2 linked regions of the Neurospora crassa OR74A genome follow. Each later gene encodes a partner of the first gene's protein in a complex. Links are inferred from orthologs where the notes say so. Each region holds a gene or a part of one and is shown on either strand. Other genes may lie near its edges.

Region 1 (6,326 bases):
GGCAAATCGCGAGTGCTAGGGTGAGTGGGAAAGCGCCATCCTCTCGGAGAAATCGATGGCGAATTGCTACTCTACGCCGGGGTTTTGAGGCTATTCCCGTTGGGGACGCAGGATCTAGGCTGGGTAAGACGTACTGACACTGTACCACTGACTGTCCTGGATGATGTGATTACACCGAAACAAGGAGTTGAGGGTATAGGGTGTAGGTGCATGCCCAGATATATGCAAATATCACACCGGGCAGTGTTCAAGATCCCCTAGACCACTGGTCAAAAAAAATATCAGTGACGAACATACCTACTTTGTGTGCTAAAAGTTTGTCTTGAGCACGGCAGTCGACTCTCAATTCCCTTCCACCTCTCAGCATGATCTACAGCCTCCTTTCGGGTCCTGACAGCAATGACAGCTTAAAAGGCGCCAAAGAGACATTGCCGGCACGGAATCCTCCAAAGTTTTTCAACAACACAAAAAGAGATGGTAGCACAACGTCGATGGCTTTCCTATTGTATTACAATCATAGCAAGTGCAGCAATGTTTAAAGATACCTCTATGATAGAGGGAACATGAGATGAAATAGAGCGGCACGGAAGCCTCTCCGCGTCGGTGGAATGGGATTATAGCTGAACCTCCAGCGGCATAGGTAGCAGATTCAACCCCAAATGGATATGATGACAACTTGGTACAAGTCCAGATATCCTCCTCCAACTTTGGCCTTCTTTCTTTGGTGTTTGATGCCCACACCCCGATTCAACTTCTCGCCTCCGCTTTACTTCATTCTGGGGATTTCTTCACACCGATCTGGCCCCCACTGTTACCCCCTTCTGCTCTAGTTCGCCCGACGTATTTCGGCCATACTATTCTTCCACAAAGTCAAGAGATATCGTAGCCTCACGATGGACAGGTCACCGGCCAAACGTTTACTGCATAGTATCAACTCGACGACTTAGTGGATGAACCTCCCCCCTTGTCGTTTTATTCTTTTCCCCACGTCTTCACTGCTGCGTAACCCCCGCGCTTCGTTGAAGATTATGGAACCATTGAGATATGGTGCTTCAAGGTCCTTGTAAATGTTGCGGGAGGATCGTAGATGGGCACGCACCAAGTTGTCAGCTTGAAATGGGAGGTTTCCCCCCACGGCAACTGAGCCATCACAACATCCCACCTCGTTGGGTACCATCACATGGTATAATAGCCCGAGACTGAATGCTTCCTAGTCAAGACGTTCAGGAGATAGACCGGGGAGTCGAGTTTATGAGCCAAGCGAGTGCTGCGGTGTCTCTTATACTGTCTTTGCTCATGGTAACTGAGCACCTTAGCTGAACAAGGATTATTCCCTCTAAGTACAATCGCGCGAGATGCCCTCTGTGGTATCGCAGACAGTCGTTTTTTGTTGGTCAGTCTAAGCCAAGCACCCGAGAACCTTGAGGCATTGTACCCGCAAAACTCTGAAGACATCATCATGTGCCCATGTATTAAGAGCGACATGTCCTCCATGTCGCAGATACGTCGATAATGTCAGTTACCCAAATACCAGTAATCACGCTCAAACACAGAAAGCATGCTGCAAATACCTCAAAAAGAAAAAACCGTCAATAGACTCCAGGCGCCGCTTGTGGCCCCAATAATGCCTCAAAACGCCACAGACAAAGGTTTTACGCACCCCAAGCAAATCATGACAAAAATACCAACCCCGTTGAGTCTCATTCGGACGAGACATCTCCTTGAAAGCCCTTGAGCGTGTTACCGCCGCACTCCCGCGTGCAATACAACAAGGGGCTCGATCATATTGCCGCCCACGCGCTGCTAAGGGGCAAACATGATCCTTCATAAACCGCCACAGAGATCCTGAAACGGCCCTCGATACGGATGGCTTTCAGCATTGCCCAGAAGACTTGCTTCTTGACCGGGCCAGAGGCTTCATCAGCCGACCAGAACTGTTGATGTAAACCCAGGGTATACTCTAACTCGTGGCTTCACTAGGATTCTGTTGAGCGAGTACCTCGTAGTAGTTGAGCGAGTCCAAACCCTTCGTTTGGGAATGACCTTCTTGCATCTTGCAAGTCCCTTATGCTTGCAGACACCTGGAAAGGAAGAAACTGGTTAATAACAAACAGCACAACCACGCCGCTAAGACGTGGAAACTCACCCAAGGAAATCTCCGTTGATGCTGCCAATGGCATACATCTCACCCAATTCCGTTCTTAAGCCACCAATCTTGACGCGCACGTGCGTACCGGGCTCAATGACCATATCAGCGTTATTGGTAAACTGAGGAGGCGTCGCGTTGGGGTCGAAGTGGATTTCTTCGGGCATCAGCTATAGTTCTCTTGTCAGCGATCGAAGTTCGAGGGCATCGTATGTGCGTATCCAAAAAGACCGTAGGCGTCATCGTACGTGAGATGAAACGAAGATGGAGAGCGGGCCAGCTTGGCAGAAGAAGCCGTGAGGATTGATGGAAAAGACAATAGCATCCACCTGTAGGGACTCCTCGTTAGACCATCCGAACGGAGAGAACACCACCGAGAATCTTCGCTGTAACGAACCACTTCGCCTTTGAACGGCCTCCAAACCACAGCACGGTACTTCACAGTGAACTCGGCCAGGCCGTTTCCGGGGAGGATGCGGCCCTCGCTAACGTCGAACGCATCCATGATGGCAATGATGTAGTAATCACCGGCACACGTCCCTTCCACGTCCTTGACCAATTTGGTCGTGACAAGTTCGTGCATGTTCCTGCCGAAATAGGATGGATGCAGGGTAACCCGCCGCTCGAGGTTATGGAGGAAAAACATTGTGGCGGGTTAGTACTGTGGGATCGGGGTGTCGTCGGCTGAAAGTGGGCGTCGATAAGACGATGCCCTGGAGAGGTTATGCGCCTCGGGATGCCTTCGCGCGGCTGTCGTGTCGAGGGGTGCGACGGCGGCGGCAGTGCTGTCGAGACTTGGGCAATTGAAGTCGCGTGTCGGGACGAAAATGACAGTGAGGGCGAGATGCGAAAATCGACAGCAAGAATGTTGGTGTAGGGATCGTGTCGAAGGTGATACTTGGTTTTGTGGGGAGACGTCGTGACGGGAGAGCAAGGCTGACGGAATACACTAGATATCGACTATGATGGAACAAAAGCTTGGAGGTTCTGGAAGTGGTAGCCTCCAACACAGAGACCGCCGCAGACGCGGTTTCGGGACTTTGCCTTGCGAGCTTGGCCTGTCACTCGTCCCTTGACGTTTAGCACATGGCTCGTGCACAATCTGCAAGGAACAGCACTGACCACACGGAAGCGGTCTTGGCGCTGCCGGGATTCGGTGTTGTCCACAACTTCAACACCAAATATCCCAATTCCATCATATCATTCAACCAGACCAGGCATAAGATGCTCGTTGTAAGGCTTGTGAAATAATCTGCTGTACTATCATGTAGCGGGTTTTTCTTAAGGGAGTGTGTCTTCTACCAGCCCCCAGCGTTCCTTAGTCGTTCATGTAGCTGTAAGCTCGAGTAAAGGTACCATGGCTCATGCCGTTTCAACATGTGACAAAGACAGACTGTCGAATGATGTCTAAGAAGGAAGATTCGAATGGCCACAGCAAAGACAGTATGGTGGTTCGAGAAGCCAAAAGATGAGAACGCTCATAAACAAGACTTGAAACGGGTAACTCACGATTGATCACCTTTCTTACACCACAGCTGTTGGCCTTCCACTTTAGGTTGTGACGTTAACGTTCGTTGACCGAGAGGTAACCGCGTCGGTAGGAGCACCGACAGAGGCGGGGCACGTTCGGGTCCTGTCAGCATGCGTTTGATAGCGCTGTGGCCGTCGAGTTGGAGGGTTTGCGGGGGTGGGCCGGCCGGGAGCCTTAACAGGTTCCCTTGTTCCTGTTGATGGCGACTCCACAACCGAGGCATCCACACGTAGCTTTTAGCCCTCTGAGAATATGAAGATGGATATGCGGAGTGGAACACCAGACAGACTCCCACATCACCAGATCCCGCCGCTCTCTGGTCTTCATTAGCTGCACGCTCTGCTTTTCGAACACTACCAATTCCACCTGTTGCTCGTTTATACACATGTGGCAGTGATTCATTTCCTCTCTTCACTGGTCGCCCTCGACGCAACTCGACTTGTCATCTACTGTCGCTCTCCTGTCTCGGGTCTCACGGAACTGAGCGAGATCTCGCCATCCATTCACACCCTGAACCTCAAGGCTGTCTACAGCACCAACCTAATCATACCGGGCAAATCCGAAGCATCACTTTCACCATGTCCCTCAACCTAGAAAAGCAACTCACCTTTGTAAGCTTTGTTGCCTGAGTTTACCAAGCTCTAACCTACATGCTCCAAGTCGGCCTGCTCGGGCACCCTTGCTTGTTTCGTCCACTTCACCTCGCTCGAAATTCACGAACTGGAGCCTTTTGCTAACTTGTCCTCTCCCTGCTTGCAGTATGGTGCTTACCACTCTAATCACGTTAATGTAGTCATCCACATGATTTGTGTGCCTTTAATCCTCTTCTCAGCCTTTGAAATTGTATGAATTCTTGAACCACTTTCCCTCGTCCCTAGCGACATGTTCTCACACGCCTCATGCTTCCAAACTAGGCCTCCAATTATGGACCATTCTTCACACTCCCCTCCTGGCTTCAGGTACCGTACCTAGAGCCAAACCTGGGCACCTTTGCGGCTCTGACATGGGGCGGACTATACGTTCTCCTCGAGCCGGTCGCCGGCACCGCATTGGCGCTCATCTGCCTCGGTGCTTGCGCCTTCACCAACTATCTTCGCATTGCCGACCCAGTCTTGACCACCAAGGTTGCCATTGTCGTTCACATTGTGAGCTGGCTGGCGCAGTTCCTCGGCCACGGCAAATTTGAGGGCCGTGCCCCTGCCCTCCTGGACAACCTCTTCCAAGCCATCTTCCTCGCTCCGCTGTTTGTCTGGCTTGAACTCTTGTTCATGCTGGGCTACCGCCCGGAGCTCAAGACGCGCGTGGATAAGGCGGTGGCGGTCGAGATTGCCAAATTCCGGGAGAGCAGGAACGCGAAGAAGGCGCAGTAAGGGAAATTCGGCATCCTTTACCGTCCAGCTGCCAGATTAGGAGAGAACCCCGAGGTGACGAGTTGGATTTATGTCAGGGGCGGGTTCAGGGGTAGAGATGTCATGCAACGATGTCAACGACAGGCATGAGCAGCTGTGACTCGACTCTGAGGTTAATGATATCGTGGACGATGTTTGAGCGGGATTTGAACTGGCCCGCGTCTTTATCACGGTCTTGTAGCGCAAGACTTGCTTGTCAAACACGCGGTTCAATGATTGAGATGTGGAATCGCTGCTGAGGTTGTTAGCGTCTGATCCCAAACGGGAGTTTTGATAGTCTATGGACTCACTTTTACTGTACATTAGAGAATAATAATAAATGGCCAGAAGGATCACTGAACTTGACAAGCTGATATCGGCTGTCTAACCGATTGAGATTCTAGAGACCTATAACACGTCAAATTAAGGTCAATTAGAGCAGAAAGTCCCCCACGTCGAAGTCATTCATGAGAAGCAGAAGATGAACGGGAGTTATGACGAAGTACTCATGGTAGACGGTCACTAGAGATGGTGGTCATTGATTTTCAACCAAGAGACCAATGCGGCTGCTTTGTATCATTACTGCTTTGCCAGGCTGCGGTTCATGCAATGTGAGGGAGGACTGCCAAGTGCCTCCCGTCCACCCCAAAGAGCGTACAACCTAGATCGAATAAGGAAAATCATCGGAATTACATTCCGTCACAAGCCACCTCGAAGAGCTGAGCGAGGAAGGCCACAATTAGATTCAAAGGTTCTCCCACAACTGCAATGCTCCCGTTAGAGGTGTACACGTAGTATCCAAGCCCCACCTGGAGTGAAGTGTTGCCTTCATTGTCAGTTGGGCTTCAAACGCTGTTGCCGCCATCTCGGGCAGCCTGGTGAGAGATGACAAGAAGAGGGTGCAGTGAGAACAACCCAAACGGTGACCCAAGCCCCCACACTCCGTTGCCTGGTCAGTTGATAAGATAAAGCCCCCCCGCCTCCACGGAATCGCTAACATCGCCGTCGCTCCACTGGTTCTTTTTCACTTCGCACCACAACTACCCCACCACGTTTCCCTTCCAAAACAACACAACAGATACCGCAATCGCAAATCGCATTTCACATCTTCGCTTGCTTCCTCACCAGAATTTTATATAAGACCTCCTTGCTTCGCGCGACTACCCACCAATCTCTACAGGCCACGGCTAGATCATCGTCAAACACTATGGATCCGTTCAACCTCCCCATCGAATGGGCTCTCCAGCTTCTTACTGGTAAG
Region 2 (5,551 bases), on another chromosome or scaffold:
AATCTCAGTTGTTTTCCGGACGTGGAGCGGCCGAAGCGTTTATAATGCCGTAATATGTGGGGTCAAACAATGAGCTGGCAGCAAGGTAGGTATTCTTTGCGCACAACCGTCACTGGCTATAGAGAGGGAAAGGGATTTCACGGTTTTCCTCATTGAAAAGAATAGCTGTCAATTATACTTGATAGTTTCCCCCGAAGAGTTGTCTGGTATATATTTGTTTCTACACTCTTATTGAAGCTGATGATGTGATGGCGAGATCTCAAGCTACTGTGGGTCTCCCGTCTCGGATGCTTCCTTGTGACGGCAGGGCAGCCGGGCAGTTCAGAAAATCACTGGGTCTTGGAACCAACATAGAGATGATTCTAGAGTCCTCGACTTGCAAAAATTTGAAGCTTCAGTAGATAGACCCTCCATTTCCACGATACAATCTCCATTCTGGGATCCAATGACATGGATGGAAAGGCCAAGTCCTTGTCTGTAACTTCCACTTTCAATGAGGATTGTTCGTTGCCCCATTGTGACCCCCTGTGGTAAACTGCTCTTTCCCCGCTACAAAGCGCCTCAACACGCGACAGGGGCTTTTTGGATTTCTATCCTTCCATAAGTTCTGTCCCGAGTCTCGTCATCTGAACTATCTGAAGGAAAGACGATATGAGATCAATTAATTCACTTGCGCTTGTAACCTCAAACACGAATTCGTTCCATTGATTCAAATATATTGAAAGTGAAGAATTGCCCTGTTGATGCTGTCTCCCTAATTTGAGATGCTTCATGTTCCTCCCCTCCCAATTCCCGACGGTCTTCAATTGCGCTCCCGAACGACAGGAGATTAGCGCACGCCAATATCTGCTTCCCCACGCTCTCTTCCCTTGACAACATCCTCTCACTTGTGCCTCTCAAGCTCAAGTCAACAAATCCAGACTTTCGGCTTCATTTGCATTACTCGATCCCGTGTGACCACGCCCTATTATCCAAGGTCTCGGGAACCCGTTGCCAAACCATGACTCCTCGGTTGTCCACCCTCGACTTGGTGGCTAAAGTCGATGCGTACGTATTTATTTGTTTATTTTTTTTCTGTGAAACCGAATCCTCTGTGTTCACGCCCAGGAACTTAGATGGAACTTCAGTGAACGGATCTAAGGCCTACCTGGATTCCGAACATGACCAGAACGAGCGCTTACATTATCTCTAAAAATCAAGCTTCCCTTACGCGGACCGGGATCCCGAGGCTTATGCCCAGATCATGAAGTCTTTCTACACGTTCGTCTGGGAAGACCAGCAGGGTCAGGTACCCATAGGCTACGTGAAGCTGGACGTTGTCGATGCACTCAACAAAGCCCCGGCAACTCTCAAAGGACAGTTAGGGTTGCACATCGATGTCTCTAATAGGACTGTAGTGCTCTTCCGTGATGCCCCGGACAAAACCTACGAGGAACGCACTCGGCTTGTCGGAAAGCTCACTGCGCTTTGGCGTGAACAAGAGGCATTTGCCATCCTCAAGAGCTGGCGAAACGAGCTGTGGCCAGTTTATGGTCGCAACAAGGAGCTCGTGTTCAGCATAGAGCGGGCAGCTATGGGCCTCTTTGGAACCACACGCTACGGCGTGCATATGAACGCCTTCATCAGACGTCAGGATGCCAGCAGCAAGTATGACTTGAGAATCTGGGTTCCCAAGCGGTCCGCGACCAAATCGACCTATCCGAGCATGTTGGACAACGCGGTAGCGGGTGGCTTGATGACCAACGAAGACCCCTTCGAATGCGTCATCCGTGAGGCGGACGAAGAGGCTTCACTGTCCGAGCATATCGTGAGGAACAACGCCAAAGAGGTCTGCACCATCACTTATATCTACATCACGGACGAGCGCGCGGGAGGCGAGGCGGGGTTGATCTACCCGGAATGCCAATGGATTTATGATCTAGAGCTACCTGCGGATGGAAGTGTCGTCCCCGAGCCAAAAGACGGCGAGGTCGAGAGCTTCAGCTTGTGCACAGTGGAGGAGATCCAGAAACAGCTCGCCCAGGGAATGTGGAAGCCGAACTGTGCCGTCGTCATGCTCGATTTCTTCGTTCGGCACGGCATTTACACGCCTGAAAACGAGCCGCATTACGACGCATTTCGTGACCGGGCTCATCGACACATCGCCTTTCCCGGTCCTCATCAGGCCTGAATCCATCGAGCACCTTCCGCAGGGCACTAGCTCTTCCAAAGGCAGATGGACAGCCCTTGGCTCGGTAGCGGCATAAATACAGGTACTTGCTTTCCGGGTATCGTTGATTCATTACTTTCCCCAGACCCCTTTTCCCTAGGATATGCCTTTTCTGGTCCACGCATAACCTTAAACGCCCGTTCGCCCTCCAAAGATCCAATGAATGTTGCTCGCGCCCTAGACTCTTGATCGGTCTGATGCTATTTAGCCGCTGGAAACATTTGCTTTTTTTCAATTTTTTATTCTCCGGAAATTTCAGCTCTCAAGCGTTCCTGTTGGCGAGGAGGTAGACGTAGTCGACACGCAGGGGCGTGAGCTTCTTGTAGGGACCATCGAGGGCCATCAGAAGACCACCGTAGGACATATACGCCTTGCTAAATTTCGCAACCGAACCAGTCAGCCACTCATTTTCCCCGAATTCCAAGGTCGAGATACTCCTGCCCAATTCCCAGGCAACAACTTACATGGTCTGGCCATCCTTTCCATCCTCAAACTTGTAGACCTTGCCATGGCAGACATACTCATAGCTGTCGGCCAGGGTCTGCTCAACGCTACCGAGCTTGGCAGCATCGCGCCAACCCCTCTCGTCGTCCTTGCTACCGTCGAGGGACAAGGAAGTAGCCAATGCAATTCTAAGGTACTCGCCGACCTTGACAGGGAAGAGCTCCTTGTTGACATCGAGCTGCATGCTGGTCTGGCCATCGACGGAGGTGCAGTACAGACGGTCGACGCGGTCGTACTTGGGATCGCTGATTCTCTCGACCTTGAACTCGTCCTCGAAGAGTTGGGCGTCGGACGTGAGGGCGGACATTGTGAATGCTGGTGTGGAATCGATGAAACAGTCGATGTTGGATATTGATTGCTCGGAAGGATACTAGTGTCAGATTTTGGTCGAGTATCAAACGCGTGTCGATAGGTGGGTAAAACGAATTGTCGCGAGCGGTAGTAATGATGGTGTTTGGGGAAACTTTTGGAGATGCGACTGAGCGATGGAGATGCCGCCATGCAGTTGCCGTCCCAAAAAATTCCAGCCTTGCGGCAATTGGACCAGGATGCCGGGGCAAGTAGTGGGGCAACCACCATTGAAAATCCCTGTCACGCCCGTCCAGTGTGTGACAAAAGTACAGCGGGGCTCTCAGGCACTCCAGTGACGTCCAAGCTTCCATGGAATTTCTTCCAGGGATCGAATCGACTATATTTGGACTTGAAGAATACATACCTCAACATCATCAAGTTTGGATTCGATACTCAAATAAGGACTGCAACTTGCCGACTGAACTATGTCCTTCGTCAAAAGAAACACCGTCCTATCCTCACCGAGAGCCGGACTCACGCCGTCCGCTCCCCAGCAGCAGCAACCCAAACAGGAAACGCAGCTTGCGCCGGGTCTTCGACCATCACCAACTGATGGCAGGTTGACCACTTCAACTGGCACTGCTTCCCTGGACCAACTTCTTGCAGGACACGGTGGACTCCCCTTAGGAACATGCTTACTGGTTGAGGAGCAAGGGACCACCGACTTCTCTGGAATTCTTCTACGGTACTATGCTGCCGAGGGTCTCGTCCAAGGGCATCAGGTTCACGCAGTAGCCTTTCCGCCAGAATGGAGGCATCAGCTTCCAGGGCTGGCTTCACCTGACAAGAAGTCAAAGAGTGCATCACCGGCGCCGGCACCCGAAGAGAAGATGAAGATTGCGTGGAGATATGAGTCCTTGGGTAACAACGCCAATGCAGGAGCTTCTGCTCGTGGGGATTCTGGAGCGCCTTTCTGTCACTCCTTTGATCTCAGCAAGAGGCTTGCCAGCTCCGAGTCCAAGGGTACTCTGAACCCGATTTCAGTTGGCGGTTCCCCGAGCTTAGACCGGAAAAGTGTTGGGACAGCTTCTCCTCTGAAGATGCTTCTCAAGCAATTGCGGGCCAAGTTGGAGAGCTCAGGATCAAACGCCATTCATAGACTGGTGGTGCCCAGTCTCCTCTCACCAACCCTCTATCCTCCTGGATGCGCCCAACCATCAGAGGTTCTACAGTTTCTACATGGGCTCCGGGCTCTCCTTCGACTGTACAGCACCCAGCTCACAGCAATCATTACCTTCCCGACGTCCTTATTCCCTCGCAGTTCAGGCCTGGTCCGGTGGATAGAAATTCTTTGTGACGGCGTCGTCGAGCTCATCCCCTTGCCTGCCAGGCTAGGTGCCGCGCCACCGCCGCCCTCAAGGTCGGATCCCAAGGCAAACGAGCAACCCCAGGGTATGTTCAAAGTATACACACTGCCTGTGTATCATGAGAAGGGTGGTGGAGGAGCAGAGTCGGGCCAATTCCGTGAGAACCTGTCATTCAGCTTGAGCGCATCCAAGGGCTTGGTGATCAAACCGTACAGTCTCCCGCCTATGCTCGAGGATGAGCAGGAGAAGCCCTCAGCTGCTCCAAAGAAGGATGGGCTTGATTTCTAAAGTCATCTTCCGCTTGGCAATTTAACGGCTTGTTTTTTTGCAAATAACCGACTTTTTTTGGCCCCCTTTTGGCAGTCTCATCATATGTTCAGGTGAGCTTCTTGATCATCATTGAAACTCCCGTCTCTTTACTTGCCCAGGTATTGGGCACGCTGTAAGTCCACTCGAGCCACTGAAACCATTGGTGGACGCCCGCCTGGAGCTACCTACGGGCGTACAGCAACACCTGGGGTGGAGCTCAAGGAAAATGTGTGGGGTCGTGGACTCACCGCCCAAATTTCCGCCGTTTTCTGCCACGGCGCGATAAAAGCCCACGCACCTCCGCCCAGAAGTTTCCCACTTTCTCTCCTCGTGTCGTCGTGTCCAACAACAGCATTTTTGGTAAGTCAAAACAGCTCTTTTTGCACACTTCCCAGTTGGTCATTTCATGATGAAACAACAAACGTATCAATCTGTCAATCCCCTGATTCATAGTGATGATAAATACGGCTGTCCAAGGCTTCTGATCCTTTGGCCAATCTATCTCTCCTGTTCACACACGACGCAAGCTCGGTTTAAGAACTGTTTCTAACCAAGAGAAAATTAGGCACTTCATTGTTTTCACACACTTACAATGTCATCAACCGAGGACGACAGACAAGTACGGATCTCCAAGATCGCTGGTCGGTACCTCGTCTTTGATATTGATGATGTGGCGTATATCCGTCGCCAGCATGGCATCTGCGCTGTTTTCACGGGCACCATGCCGCAGAATCCCACTCAGAATGTCTTCCTAGGATTGCCGCTCGAGCTGTATGCCGAGGATGCCAAGATGCTTTTGGACAGAAAGGTTGCCTACATTGCCGATGACCCTTTAGAACACTTGACCCAGTTGAAGTCAATGGATGACGAG

The links.
Region 2: NCU02661 (region 1) and NCU08030 share a complex: the UniProt entries of both Saccharomyces cerevisiae proteins name them as parts of the RNA polymerase II (Pol II) complex. The link is inferred for Neurospora crassa OR74A from reciprocal best matches to the Saccharomyces cerevisiae genes RPB7 and RPB8.

The regions. Positions count from the first base shown.
Region 1 is NC_026501.1:3,097,941-3,104,266, reverse strand, and holds NCU02661 (DNA-directed RNA polymerase II polypeptide), read right to left. Parts: upstream 3,366-6,326; 5' UTR 2,793-3,365; coding exon 2,544-2,792; intron 2,476-2,543; coding exon 2,395-2,475; intron 2,317-2,394; coding exon 2,147-2,316; intron 2,082-2,146; coding exon 2,066-2,081; 3' UTR 1,221-2,065; downstream 1-1,220. Other genes in the region: NCU02660 (DUF962 domain-containing protein), read left to right, coding at 4,256-4,288, 4,437-4,520, 4,592-5,047; NCU02659 (hypothetical protein), read left to right, coding at 6,273-6,321. UniProt on the Saccharomyces cerevisiae protein: DNA-dependent RNA polymerase catalyzes the transcription of DNA into RNA using the four ribonucleoside triphosphates as substrates. Component of RNA polymerase II which synthesizes mRNA precursors and many functional non-coding RNAs.
Region 2 is NC_026504.1:3,965,031-3,970,581, forward strand, and holds NCU08030 (UDP-glucose 4-epimerase Gal10), read right to left. Parts: upstream 3,182-5,551; 5' UTR 3,021-3,181; coding exon 2,674-3,020; exon of another isoform or gene 2,584-2,673; coding exon 2,472-2,583; 3' UTR 2,171-2,471; downstream 1-2,170. Other genes in the region: NCU08029 (thiamine pyrophosphokinase), read left to right, coding at 1,001-1,047, 1,201-2,170; NCU08031 (paxneb protein superfamily), read left to right, coding at 3,490-4,659; NCU08032 (tRNA-splicing endonuclease subunit sen34), read left to right, coding at 5,273-5,551. UniProt on the Saccharomyces cerevisiae protein: DNA-dependent RNA polymerases catalyze the transcription. of DNA into RNA using the four ribonucleoside triphosphates as substrates.